2 linked regions of the Saccharomyces cerevisiae S288C genome follow. The protein of the gene in region 1 interacts with the protein of each later gene in a biochemical or structural test. Each region holds a gene or a part of one and is shown in the gene's direction. Other genes may lie near its edges.

The links.
Region 2: of the proteins of UCC1 (region 1) and CIT2, one has a biochemical effect on the other in vitro, tested with the Saccharomyces cerevisiae proteins (2 studies listed by BioGRID).

What each region holds. Positions count from the first base shown.
Region 1 is NC_001144.5:582,119-589,820, forward strand, and holds UCC1 (Ucc1p), read left to right. Parts: upstream 1-4,345; coding exon 4,346-5,455; downstream 5,456-7,702. Other genes in the region: IFH1 (Ifh1p), read right to left, coding at 115-3,372; YLR225C (uncharacterized protein), read right to left, coding at 5,577-6,800; BUR2 (Bur2p), read left to right, coding at 7,236-7,702. UniProt on the Saccharomyces cerevisiae protein: Substrate recognition component of the SKP1-CUL1-F-box protein E3 ubiquitin-protein ligase complex SCF(UCC1) which mediates the ubiquitination and subsequent proteasomal degradation of target proteins.
Region 2 is NC_001135.5:120,446-126,464, reverse strand, and holds CIT2 (citrate (Si)-synthase CIT2), read left to right. Parts: upstream 1-4,136; coding exon 4,137-5,519; downstream 5,520-6,019. Other genes in the region: DFP3 (DUP240 family protein), read left to right, coding at 1-454; YCR006C (uncharacterized protein), read left to right, coding at 3,462-3,935. UniProt on the Saccharomyces cerevisiae protein: Peroxisomal citrate synthase involved in the citrate homeostasis. Catalyzes the condensation of acetyl coenzyme A and oxaloacetate to form citrate. Citrate synthase is the rate-limiting enzyme of the tricarboxylic acid (TCA) cycle.

The sequences.
Region 1 (7,702 bases):
CAACCAACGATAAAGCAAAATTCAGAGTAGAATAAGGCAAAGTCACATACTGATGATGATATTGTAAACGAAAGGTGATTTGATTGTAGTAACCATAAAAAAATGCAAAATAGCTCATTGTAAGACGTCATTGAATTCGAATGAATGGTTAACATCATTGCCCATAATTCCTTCGATATCTGCCAATGCACTCTCACTAAATAAACCATTTTTAGTGAAACGAAGATTTTCAGCCGCTGCTTCCACCATACTTTGCCTTCTTCTCCACATGGAATTACTATTTTCATGGCTTAATGTATTGTCGAATTGCACAGGAGCGGTTAACGATGCTAGGATATCGGCGTCAGTATCTTCGATCACATGACCTTCTTGTGCATCATAACCGTTAATATCACCTACAGACAGTAAGTCATTTTCATCTTTGCCCAAAATCTCATGAATTTCATCTAAACCAACACTTTTTGTTGAATTTTTCCTTGTATTGCTGTCCACGGCAAGATCAGAATTATGAGGTATTAATGACGCATCTTCAGGTGCGTGAGAGGGAAGTTCATTCATAGGGGTATTTTCATTGGTTGTAAAATCGGTACCGGTATTTATGTCGCTATGGCTGTTATTGTTACCGATGATCTCATGGCCATTGATTCCCAATTGTAAATTCATAGTTTCTTGCTCCTTTATTGCCTTTTGTCTTTGCTTTCTTATTTTAAGAAGCTTCTTTTTTTTCTTTAACTGCCTTTTTTTTTCAGTTTTTTTCCGTTGTAGCTCTTTCATCTTATCAATCTTCTTTCTTGTTCTTTCATTACCAATATAGCCAATGGGAACTTTTCTGTTAGAATTTGCTGGTATCATGTACTCATCTTCTTCATAGGCATTAATACCCTTATTTCTAAATGCAGATAATGGAACCTTAGGAACTTCATACCAATCTGCAGCATGGCCATTTGTGCTTTTGCTATTAATTGCATCATTGTAATTGTTCTCCATATCGTCTGTGTGGGATGGTGAATCATCCTCCAATTCACTCATGTTTAGCAGCTCATTGAGTGTCAATTCGTCACCGTTATTGCCATTAGAGCTTCCCTCTCTTTTAACATCTGGGGTTTGAGCCCTTTGATGTTGCTCGCGAAGCTGTTGATGTTCTTGGATTAAGGCGTATAATGATTTAGTAGACAGACCATCAATAATACTAAAAGGTTTGTTGTCCGTCTCCCAAGTACCCAATTTTGGTGGACGTAATCCAACAACATTTGAACTTACGATTTCCTTTGCTTTTGAGCCAATGTTTTTTGACCTTGAACTTGGGGGCGGTAGGTTATCATCTTCATCTGTGGATTCGTCATCAACGTACACAACAGTCTCTAAGAGATCATGTTTGCAATCTTTGGATCCATCAGAATTTTCTTTGTCTGAGTTAGAACTTATCAAAGAGGAAGATCCATCGCTGTCGTAATGAAAGTAAAAAGAGTCTGGATCTAAATCATCGATGTCTATGAACACATTTGTCACGCTGGAATCATCGTCGTCGTCTTCGTAATCGTCGTCCAGTTCTGTGCCAATGTCTAAGCTATCTGAATCTAGTGCCCTCAATTCTTCATCCGTGTCAGCATCGTGGGACGTTTCAGATTCACTGCATTCATCATCTGAAGGCATATGGGCAACATCCAACAAAATGTTATCATATTCATCGTCAGAAGAATCATATTTCCCGGAATTCAGGACCGTACTATGAGTGGATGGTTCCAGATCATCATTGGATTTTATCAAATTCGAGCCTTTATTCTTATGTTCAATATGACTTTTGCCCGATTTATGCCTGCCTTTCTTGCTCTTATGGCCACTATTTTCATCATCTGATTGAAAAAAAACATTGAAAATATACTCATCATTGTCCACATTGGAGGTTGTTCTCGTACTAGGTTTTTGCGTCTTTTTATAGAGCTTTCGTCTTTGTTTCCTTTCTTCCTGTTCCCGTTTTTTGGCCTCTTTCTTTTTTAGTTTAGATAGTTTTTCATCATTTAGCATTAACGGTAAAGATGTACTCAAGGATAGCTTTGGCTCTGAACCATCGCCATAATAATAAAGATTTGCAAATTTAGGATCTTCATAAAACGGCATATCAAAATCAGACATTATTTCATCTTCTTCGTCATCTTCTTCATCATATCCGTTTTCTTGATTGTATTCATTTTGCAAAAATTTATTTTCAGCATCTTCTACAGGATCAGACCCTTCTTCGTGTATACTACCATCGAATGAGAGTTCGTCGTCATTTTGTAGCTCAGAAACAATGTTTTGTTCTTCTTCTTCCAATATGGGAAGATCGTCTTCCCCCGTTTCAAGATCTGTACCAATTTCTCCATGAGAATCTTCATTGTTAATCACGTCAAAGTACGCATCCTGGTCAATATCATATTCAGATTCATCTGACTCTGAAATATTGGGAAATCGTAACTCATCGTTGTTACCTAACATCACCTTAGAATCCAGTTTATCTTCTTCATTACCATTGTTCTCTTTGTTTTTTAAATCCAAGACTTCTTCACCTATATCCTCGTTATAGCCTTCATTACCATTACCAAAACTAATGCCGTCGTCCTCTTTTTTGAATTTAAACGATAGCGCCTGTTGTGTAGTAGTAGTGCCTGAACCGTTTACTTCTTTTTTGTTTGATTCTTGTTGTTTTTGTTGCTCTTCTTTCTCTTTTTCTTTTTCTTCTTTCTGCTCTTCTTCATTTTCTTTCTTAGGGGATAGTTTAACTGATTTATTTTTGTTACTGTTCTCACGAGAGGAATAGAGTGTATTGCTATTTGTATTCATGGCAGATAAAGCTTTCATGGCTCTTTTCTTTCTTTGGGCCGTCAGTTTGACAAAATCTATATTCTCGTCATCAGAACTTGTTTCGCTATCACTATCACTATCACTTCCGTCATCATCATCGTCGTCGTCGTCTTCGTCATCATCTTCTTCTTCTTCTTCACTCTCTTCTTCTTCATTTTCACTCTCTTCGCCATCTGTTACAGCTTGGTAATCGGATGACTCTGTGCCCTCGTCGTCATTGTCTATTTGCCTTTGTATAAGTTTACTTTTTTTTCCTTGGGAATTATTTGAAATGTTCTTTGCTTTTCTTTTAATTTTATGTGGGTTTGTACTTTTGTTTTTATCAGAATCAGATACGTCACTCAAGGATGACTCAGAAGAGTATATAAGGCTAAATCTTCTTGGCCTCGTTGTACTCAGTGTGGGTGGTGATTGCCTGGACTTTGTATCGGATTCGCCCTTTTTTATGAGCCTTTTAATATTTGCTGGCAGTTTACCAGAATGTGTACTATGATTGATCGTACTTTTTCGAGGACTTTTTTTGCCTGCCATTTCGTTCTGTTTCCAGTTTGCCGGTTGTTTTTTCCTTATTTGTTTATTTGCTTCCTTGTTGAATTTCCTTCAATTTCAACAAGCTTGAAAATGAATTTCGTAGAATGAATATTACTATGTTTGAAATGGTTATTGCTTATGATGCTCACCGAAGTTAAAAAAAATATTATAGGTTTGTCCTATGTTAGAATTGTGGAAAGGGAGGAATGTAATAAATAAGCAGTAATTAAATATAGCCTTTTGAAGAGTTCCTCCTTTTAATTTCTTGTAGCAAGTGTTTCGAATGTATTCAAATATTACCAATGATTATACAAATACTTACAGCAAGTCAATTAAAGAGCCGTAAAAGCTAAACGTCAAAACGTGTAAAGCACCTATTATCTAGTCTCTTTTCCCTAGTTGTACTTTAAATCAATTTAGTGATGAGATGAAAAAAAAAAAAAAAAAAAAAAGAATTCCAACGAAAAAGAAACGACGGGCAGGGCAACCTTTAGAGATTTCAATCCGTATAAAGAGATGTAGTAGGCAGTACGGGTAACATCGTCACAATTCATAATGGAACTATCTAGCTTTTGCTTGATTGCAAAGTTCTACACCCGTTGATACTTCAAACATCTTTGCAATACGTAGGTAGGGGTCGCGTACTAGCAGCCTCCTAGTTAAGTGTATCTTTCAATCGCATTACGGAACAACTAGGCATCCCGAACCCCACACGGAAAAATCGGAACAATAACTGAAAATTTCCTTTTTCTTTTTTTTGCTCTTCAAAGTCTCTGCCCCTCTATTGCGTACTCGATTGATTTTTTTATCAAAGGCCATCTCAGACAAGTAGATCTACATTGGAGTTTCTCATAATATTATCACTATCGGAAGGTAGCATAACCTTTAATAGAGTTTCCGCTGTTTGCTTGGCTCGTTTTTTTGTTTGTACTATGCCTATTGGCGCAAAGAAGACAGAGTGTGCAAACAAGAGATGAATCAGAGCGATAGCAGCTTGATGGATTTACCACTGGAGATACATTTATCATTACTAGAGTACGTGCCTAATGAACTTCGTGCTGTCAATAAATACTTCTACGTTTTGCATAACCACAGCTATAAGGAGAAGAGTTTGGCGTGGATAGCTGAGGACAACTATATATGGGCCGTTGTCAAACATTCATTATGTTTATATGTCAAGAGTTTGGACCCACTTCGACAGCATGCCAGAGAAATCATTCAAGAAACGAAGGAACCAGGTTTTAATGTGCCACTGTGCATGACTAAATACATCGCAGATTCTTGGTATATTGTATACAATGCGCTGCAATATCCTGGAAAGATAATTAATATGGGATGGGACAAATATACCAAAAGTCAAGATTCAAATGGTTCTGATTCTACCAGTAACTTTAATAGTCGGCCCAAGGAAAGAACTCTTATGCAGTCGTTGACAGCTTTACCTGTTAACTTTTGGTCCAGGAGGAAGGACGAGCCTACACCGGTAAACGTTTGGTTTTATGTAAAAAATGCGCACGTTGCCAGATACATACCGAAAATTATTACGGAAATAGGCATATGCAACTATGGGCCGAAGCAGATCGTGGCAAGTGCAGGATATATCAACGAATTGATAACATCTGAAGGAATATACTGTGTTAACCTAGGCCACCTTCCCAGGCTATACGATGAGCAAATTTTTGAAGGCACTGGAACGACACATCTTCCCCTGGAACTGAAAGCTATCGACAGGACAGATTCAGATGTTTGTATCAATGGTGATTTAGTTCTACTCGGTTATGACTTTATTCCATATCAGATATCGAAGCCGTGGTTACTCTTTAGAATCGAACCCGTAAATAGCATTGAAGCAATCTTCAACTATAGTGAATGTTCTTTTTCATACCAGTTTGCATGGAGTTTGGCCTGCTTACAATCTGAAGAGAAAATTTCATTTCCTAGAGACACGATAATTGGGCACGGTTTACCTTACAAGCCATCCAAATTGATAAGAATTTTCGTCTACAAGCATCCGGAACAAAAGCAAGATCTTGGTCAAGAAATAGCATTGCCCAACTGGAATACCCCTTATCTTCGAAGATGAAAAAAAAATTTATCAATTAGTCTATAATATATGTGTATATACGTCTATGCACCTACCTACTTATAAATGGATATAATATTCTTGCAATGATGAAAATATGTATAGTCAAATTTCATTTTTTTCAATTGATAAATGTACTTTCAATGATGGAAACTCCTTCATCGTCATCGAATTTAGACTTCTGGCAGAATTGGTAAATGAATGGCTTCATGTTTGCCAGATTTTCAGCAATAGACCTAATGAAAGCGGGCAGCTCACTCATTATATCGTACCTATTGACTAATCTTAAATTAGATTCTTCAAAACCACGCGGAAATGAAATGGATGTAGGATATTTCCAACCATTTTGCTTATCCTCTTTTGTAGATGGAAATTTAACAGCATGATCATTTACACTTGACCCGACCTCCAAAATTTTGTCCTTATCACTAACCGCCCATATAGTCACTGTAGTGCTGCCATATTCTTTTGTTGTGGTGAATTCAATACACATCATCGAACGCTTCTCACCATTGAAACAAAGAAAATTCCATTTACTAGCCGCCTTATTGGGTATTAGCCCCTGGACAGCATCCAGATACAACATAGGCGTGTCCTTCAAGTCCAGCTTCACAGGTTTATCGTTTTTCTTGTATGAGATGGTACCATTGCAAAAACCTCTAGGAACAAAAACATGTCTTATCATTTTTCTGGACGTACTAGAAGAGTCTCTTTTTGCTAACTCTTCCAAGCTGATGCTCTTGTCAAGGTAATAATTGGAACCGTCCGGGTTTATTATGAATCCTTCTTGTAAATTTACGGTAATGTCAACCTTCAAATCTTTTAGTAAACAGCTTGTACTTCCCTTCGGAATATCTATCTTAATTAATAATTGAGCAAATCCACTGGAGGAAGAATTTTCCAAAGGTACGAAGTGAAACGTAACATTGTCCGATTCAACTTTTAACGTATCAAAATCTTTGATATTATCAATTTTAAAGCTTTCCCATATATCAATGTCTTCTTCAGAGTTTTCCTCACTGCTGGCTTTAAATATTTTGAAATTTAACTGAAAACCTTTGTATATACCGCCCATAACACTGGAATATAATAGTTGAATTAATCCACATTTGCCGTTGGTGAGATCCGTAAAATACAGAGTTTGTGTCTCTATTCTTGTTTCCGTTGGATTTCTTACTGCTTTTAATAAACTATGTGACTTGAACTTTTTGTGATTTGACGTCCTGCAAAACCATTCTAGTTTCGATGTATCCTGAAATTTAGTATAATTAGCATGATCCTTCTCGGATAAAACTTCCTTAACGGGGGCAAATTTCGTCTTCTCCTTTTTGATCGCAACCGCCATTTTTTCTTTGCTCTATGATTTTTATGTTAATTAAACTGTTCGTTGCCCTAAAATTTTGAAAATTTCTCGAATATTTAGAGAGAATCCGTCACTATTTTAGTATCTATCTTGTCTATTTATATATAAAATCTCATTCCCCTGTTATGGTTTTTGCCAAGCCCTATCCCAAAAAACCAAATGATACATGATAAACCTATTTATCCTCTTTAACAGACCTATCGTTTAAAGCTTTTTTATTGCAAACCCTATTCATTATGGCTTTTTGACCTAGGTCTCATTGTGACTTCTATTTTTCACTGTTCAGTAAAAAAAGAAAAGTGATTAAAAAGTATCACTATTTCTGTTAGAAAGCAAGTAGCTATTTTGATTGGTAATTATATACACATATTGAAGGAGGCCGTAGTATTTTCGTTTAAAATATATTACAGTAAGATAATGTCTGCTACATCTTCAAGTGGTGACGTGAAAAAATTTCAAGCTGTACCAAAACCAACGAGCAATGCATCACCACCACCAGCATCGAGTGGGTTTAACGCAAGGACCCTATGGCCGGATTTGATAGAAACACCAGAAAACCAGTGGGTTTTTGAGTGCAAAGATATTATTGAAAAGATAGGCACTAATGGACCGATAGCAGTGGAAATAAAAAAAAATATGGAAAAATGCTTAATGTACTTTTACACACTTAAAAAAAAATTAAATCTTTTTGATCACACCTATACGGCATCATGCATTCTATTTTACAGGTATTGGTTCATATATGGAATACCTACAGCCATAACTGAATGTATTCATATATCACAGGGAATTCTGGTCACCGCTTGCAAAACAATGGAGAATAATAGGCCTATAGAGGCCTATATTAAGGCGACTTGTGAGTTTTTGATGCAAAATATACCGTC
Region 2 (6,019 bases), on another chromosome or scaffold:
TTCTATTTTGTTTTTGTCTACGTTGATTCCGTTTAATGTGTATATCTCGGATGAGGGTTTCAGAATTAAGCTTTTGCTGGAAGTTATCACCCACAGGCCAGCGGTAAAGGGAAAAGAATGGAGAGCAATCACAGACAATATGAATCAATATTTACTTGATAATGGTTTATGGAGTACTCGCTATTACTTTTATAGTAGTGAAAGATGCTACAAATTCTTCAGATTTCTTGTGAAAGAAAAACCCCCAGGTGTGAATGTAAATTCATCGGTAAAGGACGCCACAAGTACGCAGATAGATGCACCAGCAAATGAGGCTTCAAATGAGGTAATAAAATGCTTTAGTTTCAGTTCTGACCCAATATTCGAAGCATACTTTGTTAAAGCAGTAGAAGTTGAGAAACAAGCACAACAGGAATATTGGAGAAAGCAATATCCTGACGCCGATATACCATGAAATATAAATCTTGATAATTTTATTTAGCACTTATACTGAGCGATGTACCAAACCGATTCTAAATTCACAATTCATAATGGAACTTAATCGTTTATACAGTATAAACAAGTAGAAGTATTTTGACAGAGATTAATAAATTTGTGCCACACGAAGGGGCTTTCTCACAGCTAATAATATTGTACAAACTAAAGGATAGAATATGCTGTGGTGCAAGTTGGGTGCACATTAACGTATTGTCGTGCATTCCCTATCATTTTTAAGGGAAGGAAATTAATTCTAATGGCTAGTTACTTACTCTCAGGACTCCATAATTAACATGTAGCAACTGAAAAAAGAAATTTTGCTGTGAATGACTTGTGCTCAAGATAAGCTTCTTTTTCTGAAGGTTTGTTTCTTATTGCGAGCACTTTTTTCTGTATATAATGTAACAGTGAAGAGCAGCATCTATATGTTAAAGTGCTTCATGTATGGTTAAGCAGGCTTTGCGGCTAAAAAAAAAGGAATGCTTATTACCCTTTTTTCCATACTTTTGTAGCTACCTAGTTTCTTTCTCGAATGTTTCGCGATTGTTTCCACTGCAATTTCCGCATAAAACAAATATCAAAGAAAATATACGAGACAGAAAGATTTGGAGAACATGATTTGATGTCTTCAGCTTTCATTATATTCAACATTTTCACGCTTTGTTCTTGTTACTATTCAATATTCATGGCCAAATTCCCACAAACCTAGATAATTCTAACTATTTTAATAAACCCACACATAAATAGAGAAGCATTACGACTTGCATGCGCATAGTGTGTCACCAAAGGTTGAGAGAAACTGTTTGCTTACTTCTTGGAAACTGCATAAGTTATACTCGAGTCTTACAATTAGTCATTGAATACGACAAAACCACTTCCTCTGCCTTATTTGATTTCTGAAAGCTTAGTGTGCTACGAGAAAAATTTTACAAAGAAATTATTATGAAGCTAAACTACTTCTTTACCATCAAGAACCACTTTTTGTCCCCAGCAAAATTTTCTTAGGCTTTGAGAGGTCCATTGTGCTAACATTACTGTTTCACATAGTTCCCATGTATAAATTAGACCAAATAGCACTAACCTGTAGGTTGTGGAACTTCAAAACTACAAAAATCTTGATGTGTTGATTGTTCGGTCACTTAGAGGATATAATTGAATACTTGCACGATAAGAATCTTAAAACATATAGTGAACAAGAACAAGTGCCGAAATTTAAATCTTTGAACCATGTTGATGTGCCCTTTCTGCTTCATAACGGGAACAACTTCGCTTGCAGCATCCTTGCATTCTTGAAGACGTTCTTACGGTCTATGTAGCATTTTCTCTTAAACCCAAGACATAGCAAAAAACAAGTGTGTATAATTACTTTGGATAATATTTATGAAATCCATACTTATATTAGCCATTTCATGAGGACGGAATACTTCTCAACTAAAAAGCACAACTTGGCAATTATTACAATTTGCGTACCTAATAAACAAGATGCCCGATAATTCCTCACAATTTTATACTAGCTCGAATGTGTTGGAATAAAAATCCACTATCGTCTATCAACTAATAGTTATATTATCAATATATTATCATATACGGTGTTAAGATGATGACATAAGTTATGAGAAGCTGTCATCGAAGTTAGAGGAAGCTGAAGTGTAAGGATTGATAATGTAATAGGATAATGAAACATATAAAACGGAATGAGGAATAATCGTAATATTGGTATATAGAAATATAGATTCCATTATGGGGATTCCTAGACCCTCGAGGAGAACTTCTAGTATATTCTGTATACCTAATATTATAGCCTTTATCAACAATGGAATCCCAACAATTATCTCAACATTCACCCATTTCTCAGAATGAGATATACTTTGAGTAAAAGTGGTGGAGGATATTACTTATGTCCTTGGTAGCATGGGTCAAGATAGTTGTGTTAACTTGTTAATTATTTTTTACTATGCTTCTCAATTAAAGATGAAGTTTAACGAATGGTCTAGACTTATTCTCACAGTTTACCCGGAGGTCATCATTCTCTTTAATGACAATATTTACTCTGTCGTCACTTTCGTAATTGTTTCGTGTCTGTTTCGCAGTCCATTTGGAATGCGACAGTAAGTTAATTACAAGAAGTAGTAACAACAACTTAGCGATAATGTTTCTCATGTGTGACGCAGGGTTACTTTTGACTTAAAACGACCATTTTGCAGTTTTACTTCACGTTCGCAAACTTTCAATAACTGGCTGTTAATCTGGTCGTTAAGAAAAAGGTCAATGACGATGGCAGGGAAAATAGGGCTGTATCCCAGACTTCAGGCGCTGTTCTGCCGGGATTTTTCAAAGGAGGGCGTGTGGTCTAGAGGTATGATTCTCGCTTAGGGTGCGGGAGGTCCCGGGTTCGAGTCCCGGCTCGCCCCACATTGTTTTTACAATGTGTGGTGTCGCTACTGGCAGAAATGGTACGGCATTTATCTTTCCGACGTAAAACAAGTGTACTCAGGAGCAGTTTTTTTTTGCAATATGCTAAAACTCGTACAATAAACCAAGGCGCATGGCATGTTTGAACATTTACTCGTTATTTCGGAGGTTCCTCAGATGGCTGAATGGAGGTACAGATTATGATTTCTAGAAAACTGCAGCGGACTTTACAGAGTAAGCTGGAGAAGACCAATGTTAATGAAAACTTGAACTGCTGAAGTGTGATATTCAATGTATGAGATAATCCATTAAATCATCTACAGTTTAAAGACTGTAGGCTTACATGACCGTTTATCACTGCGATATTGGAGGAAGCGCTTCGGATCAATGGACCTTTTACTTAGCAGAGCGAAGGCTGAAAATCATGAACCCCAACAGCATGTGTGACCTCTCTTCTCACGCCTGGCAAGAAACCAAACTACGGCATACATTCAGCGCACCAAAAAGGAACTCCGTACTATTTACATTAAAAACAAGAAAATGTGTTGCCATTTCCGTAAAATGAATGGCCCATGTTCATACGCGTATGCAACCGTCTTATTTACACTCCGACTAATGTCCTTCTAATTACTGTGGAAGACGGCCGTATAAGCGTCCTTCTGTGGTTTAGATATGCTATACCGGCGGAACTTTGTTACACACGGCTCGCGCGAATCCTTAGGGGAAAACATTGCGCTGACTTTCCCCAGAGTTGTTGCCACAACATAAGCCGCTTTGGAGTGTTGAACAAATCCGTCCTTGGGTCATTCAATCAATGGCTTGGCGGTATCTCAAAAGAGCGCAAACTAATAGCGCGCACATTCGACGCATTTATCCGGTGGTCATCGACTAGGGGCGAAGAGGTCACGACCTATTTTTTCTTGCAGAAAAAAAGTGTGACCTTTTCCGTAGCTAGACGTCTATCAGGGCGTCAGCAATGGGAGGCACAGCGGAAAAACAATAACAATGGTAAGCGCAATTACCTTTTGAGCGTTACATTCGTATGAAATTGGTGACGTTAATCTAAAGATAGTCATGCTCTCAAAAGGGCCCATTATTCTCGACGTTGAGCGTATATAAGACTATTAAAACTTGGTTCTTTAGATATGGTGTTCGTTCCTCATTATTAAGTTTCAGGGAACAATATCAACACATATCATAACAGGTTCTCAAAACTTTTTGTTTTAATAATACTAGTAACAAGAAAAATGACAGTTCCTTATCTAAATTCAAACAGAAATGTTGCATCATATTTACAATCAAATTCAAGCCAAGAAAAGACTCTAAAAGAGAGATTTAGCGAAATCTACCCCATCCATGCTCAAGATGTAAGGCAATTCGTTAAAGAGCATGGCAAAACTAAAATTAGCGATGTTCTATTAGAACAGGTATATGGTGGTATGAGAGGTATTCCAGGGAGCGTATGGGAAGGTTCCGTTTTGGACCCAGAAGACGGTATTCGTTTCAGAGGTCGTACGATCGCCGACATTCAAAAGGACCTGCCCAAGGCAAAAGGAAGCTCACAACCACTACCAGAAGCTCTCTTTTGGTTATTGCTAACTGGCGAGGTTCCAACTCAAGCGCAAGTTGAAAACTTATCAGCTGATCTAATGTCAAGATCGGAACTACCTAGTCATGTCGTTCAACTTTTGGATAATTTACCAAAGGACTTACACCCAATGGCTCAATTCTCTATTGCTGTAACTGCCTTGGAAAGCGAGTCAAAGTTTGCTAAGGCTTATGCTCAAGGAATTTCCAAGCAAGATTATTGGAGTTATACTTTTGAAGATTCACTAGACTTGCTGGGTAAATTGCCAGTTATTGCAGCTAAAATTTATCGTAATGTATTCAAAGATGGCAAAATGGGTGAAGTGGACCCAAATGCCGATTATGCTAAAAATCTGGTCAACTTGATTGGTTCTAAGGATGAAGATTTCGTGGACTTGATGAGACTTTATTTAACCATTCATTCGGATCACGAAGGTGGTAATGTATCTGCACATACATCCCATCTTGTGGGCTCAGCACTATCATCACCTTATCTGTCCCTTGCATCAGGTTTGAACGGGTTGGCTGGCCCACTTCATGGGCGTGCTAATCAAGAAGTACTAGAATGGTTATTTGCACTTAAAGAAGAGGTAAATGATGACTACTCTAAAGATACGATCGAAAAATATTTATGGGATACTCTAAACTCAGGAAGAGTCATTCCCGGTTATGGTCATGCTGTGCTAAGGAAAACTGATCCTCGTTATATGGCTCAGCGTAAGTTTGCCATGGACCATTTTCCAGATTATGAATTATTCAAGTTAGTTTCATCAATATACGAGGTAGCACCTGGCGTATTGACTGAACATGGTAAAACCAAAAATCCATGGCCAAATGTAGATGCTCACTCTGGTGTCTTATTACAATATTATGGACTAAAAGAATCTTCTTTCTATACCGTTTTATTTGGCGTTTCAAGGGCATTTGGTATTCTTGCTCAATTGATCACTGATAGGGCCATCGGTGCTTCCATTGAAAGGCCAAAGTCCTATTCTACTGAGAAATACAAGGAATTGGTCAAAAACATTGAAAGCAAACTATAGTTGGATTACATCCTACTTTTACACCCCTCTGCATATTTTTCTTTCCTCATGACCATTTAGTATTTAGCACTTATTTAATACAATAATATATTCTTTTAACCATACACTATGATAATGATATTTATAATTAAGAAAATGAACGTTACTATTTCCTTCCTCGTTTTAGTTACATAAAATTTACTAATGGTTGGAAAATTGCGGAAGCTATCACGCGATAACTAGGTACACACGCATTATTTTTATAATCCCATTATTAATAAATCCGTTATGACCCTTTTAGTAATAACTTATTAAGAACCTCCGGGTAAAATACTGTACTGCGGGGAAAGAAGGCGCTTCCCCTTCTTGGAACTTAATATAAATAATAAATTTGCCTAAGGGCATTAGGCCTTACTGCCTTGGCTAGCGTACTTATTTCGATTCATACAATTTGCACTATTCCGGCAGCTAGTTGATACTATAACATCCTACATTTTTACTTGTTTTACGTTCATTTTTAT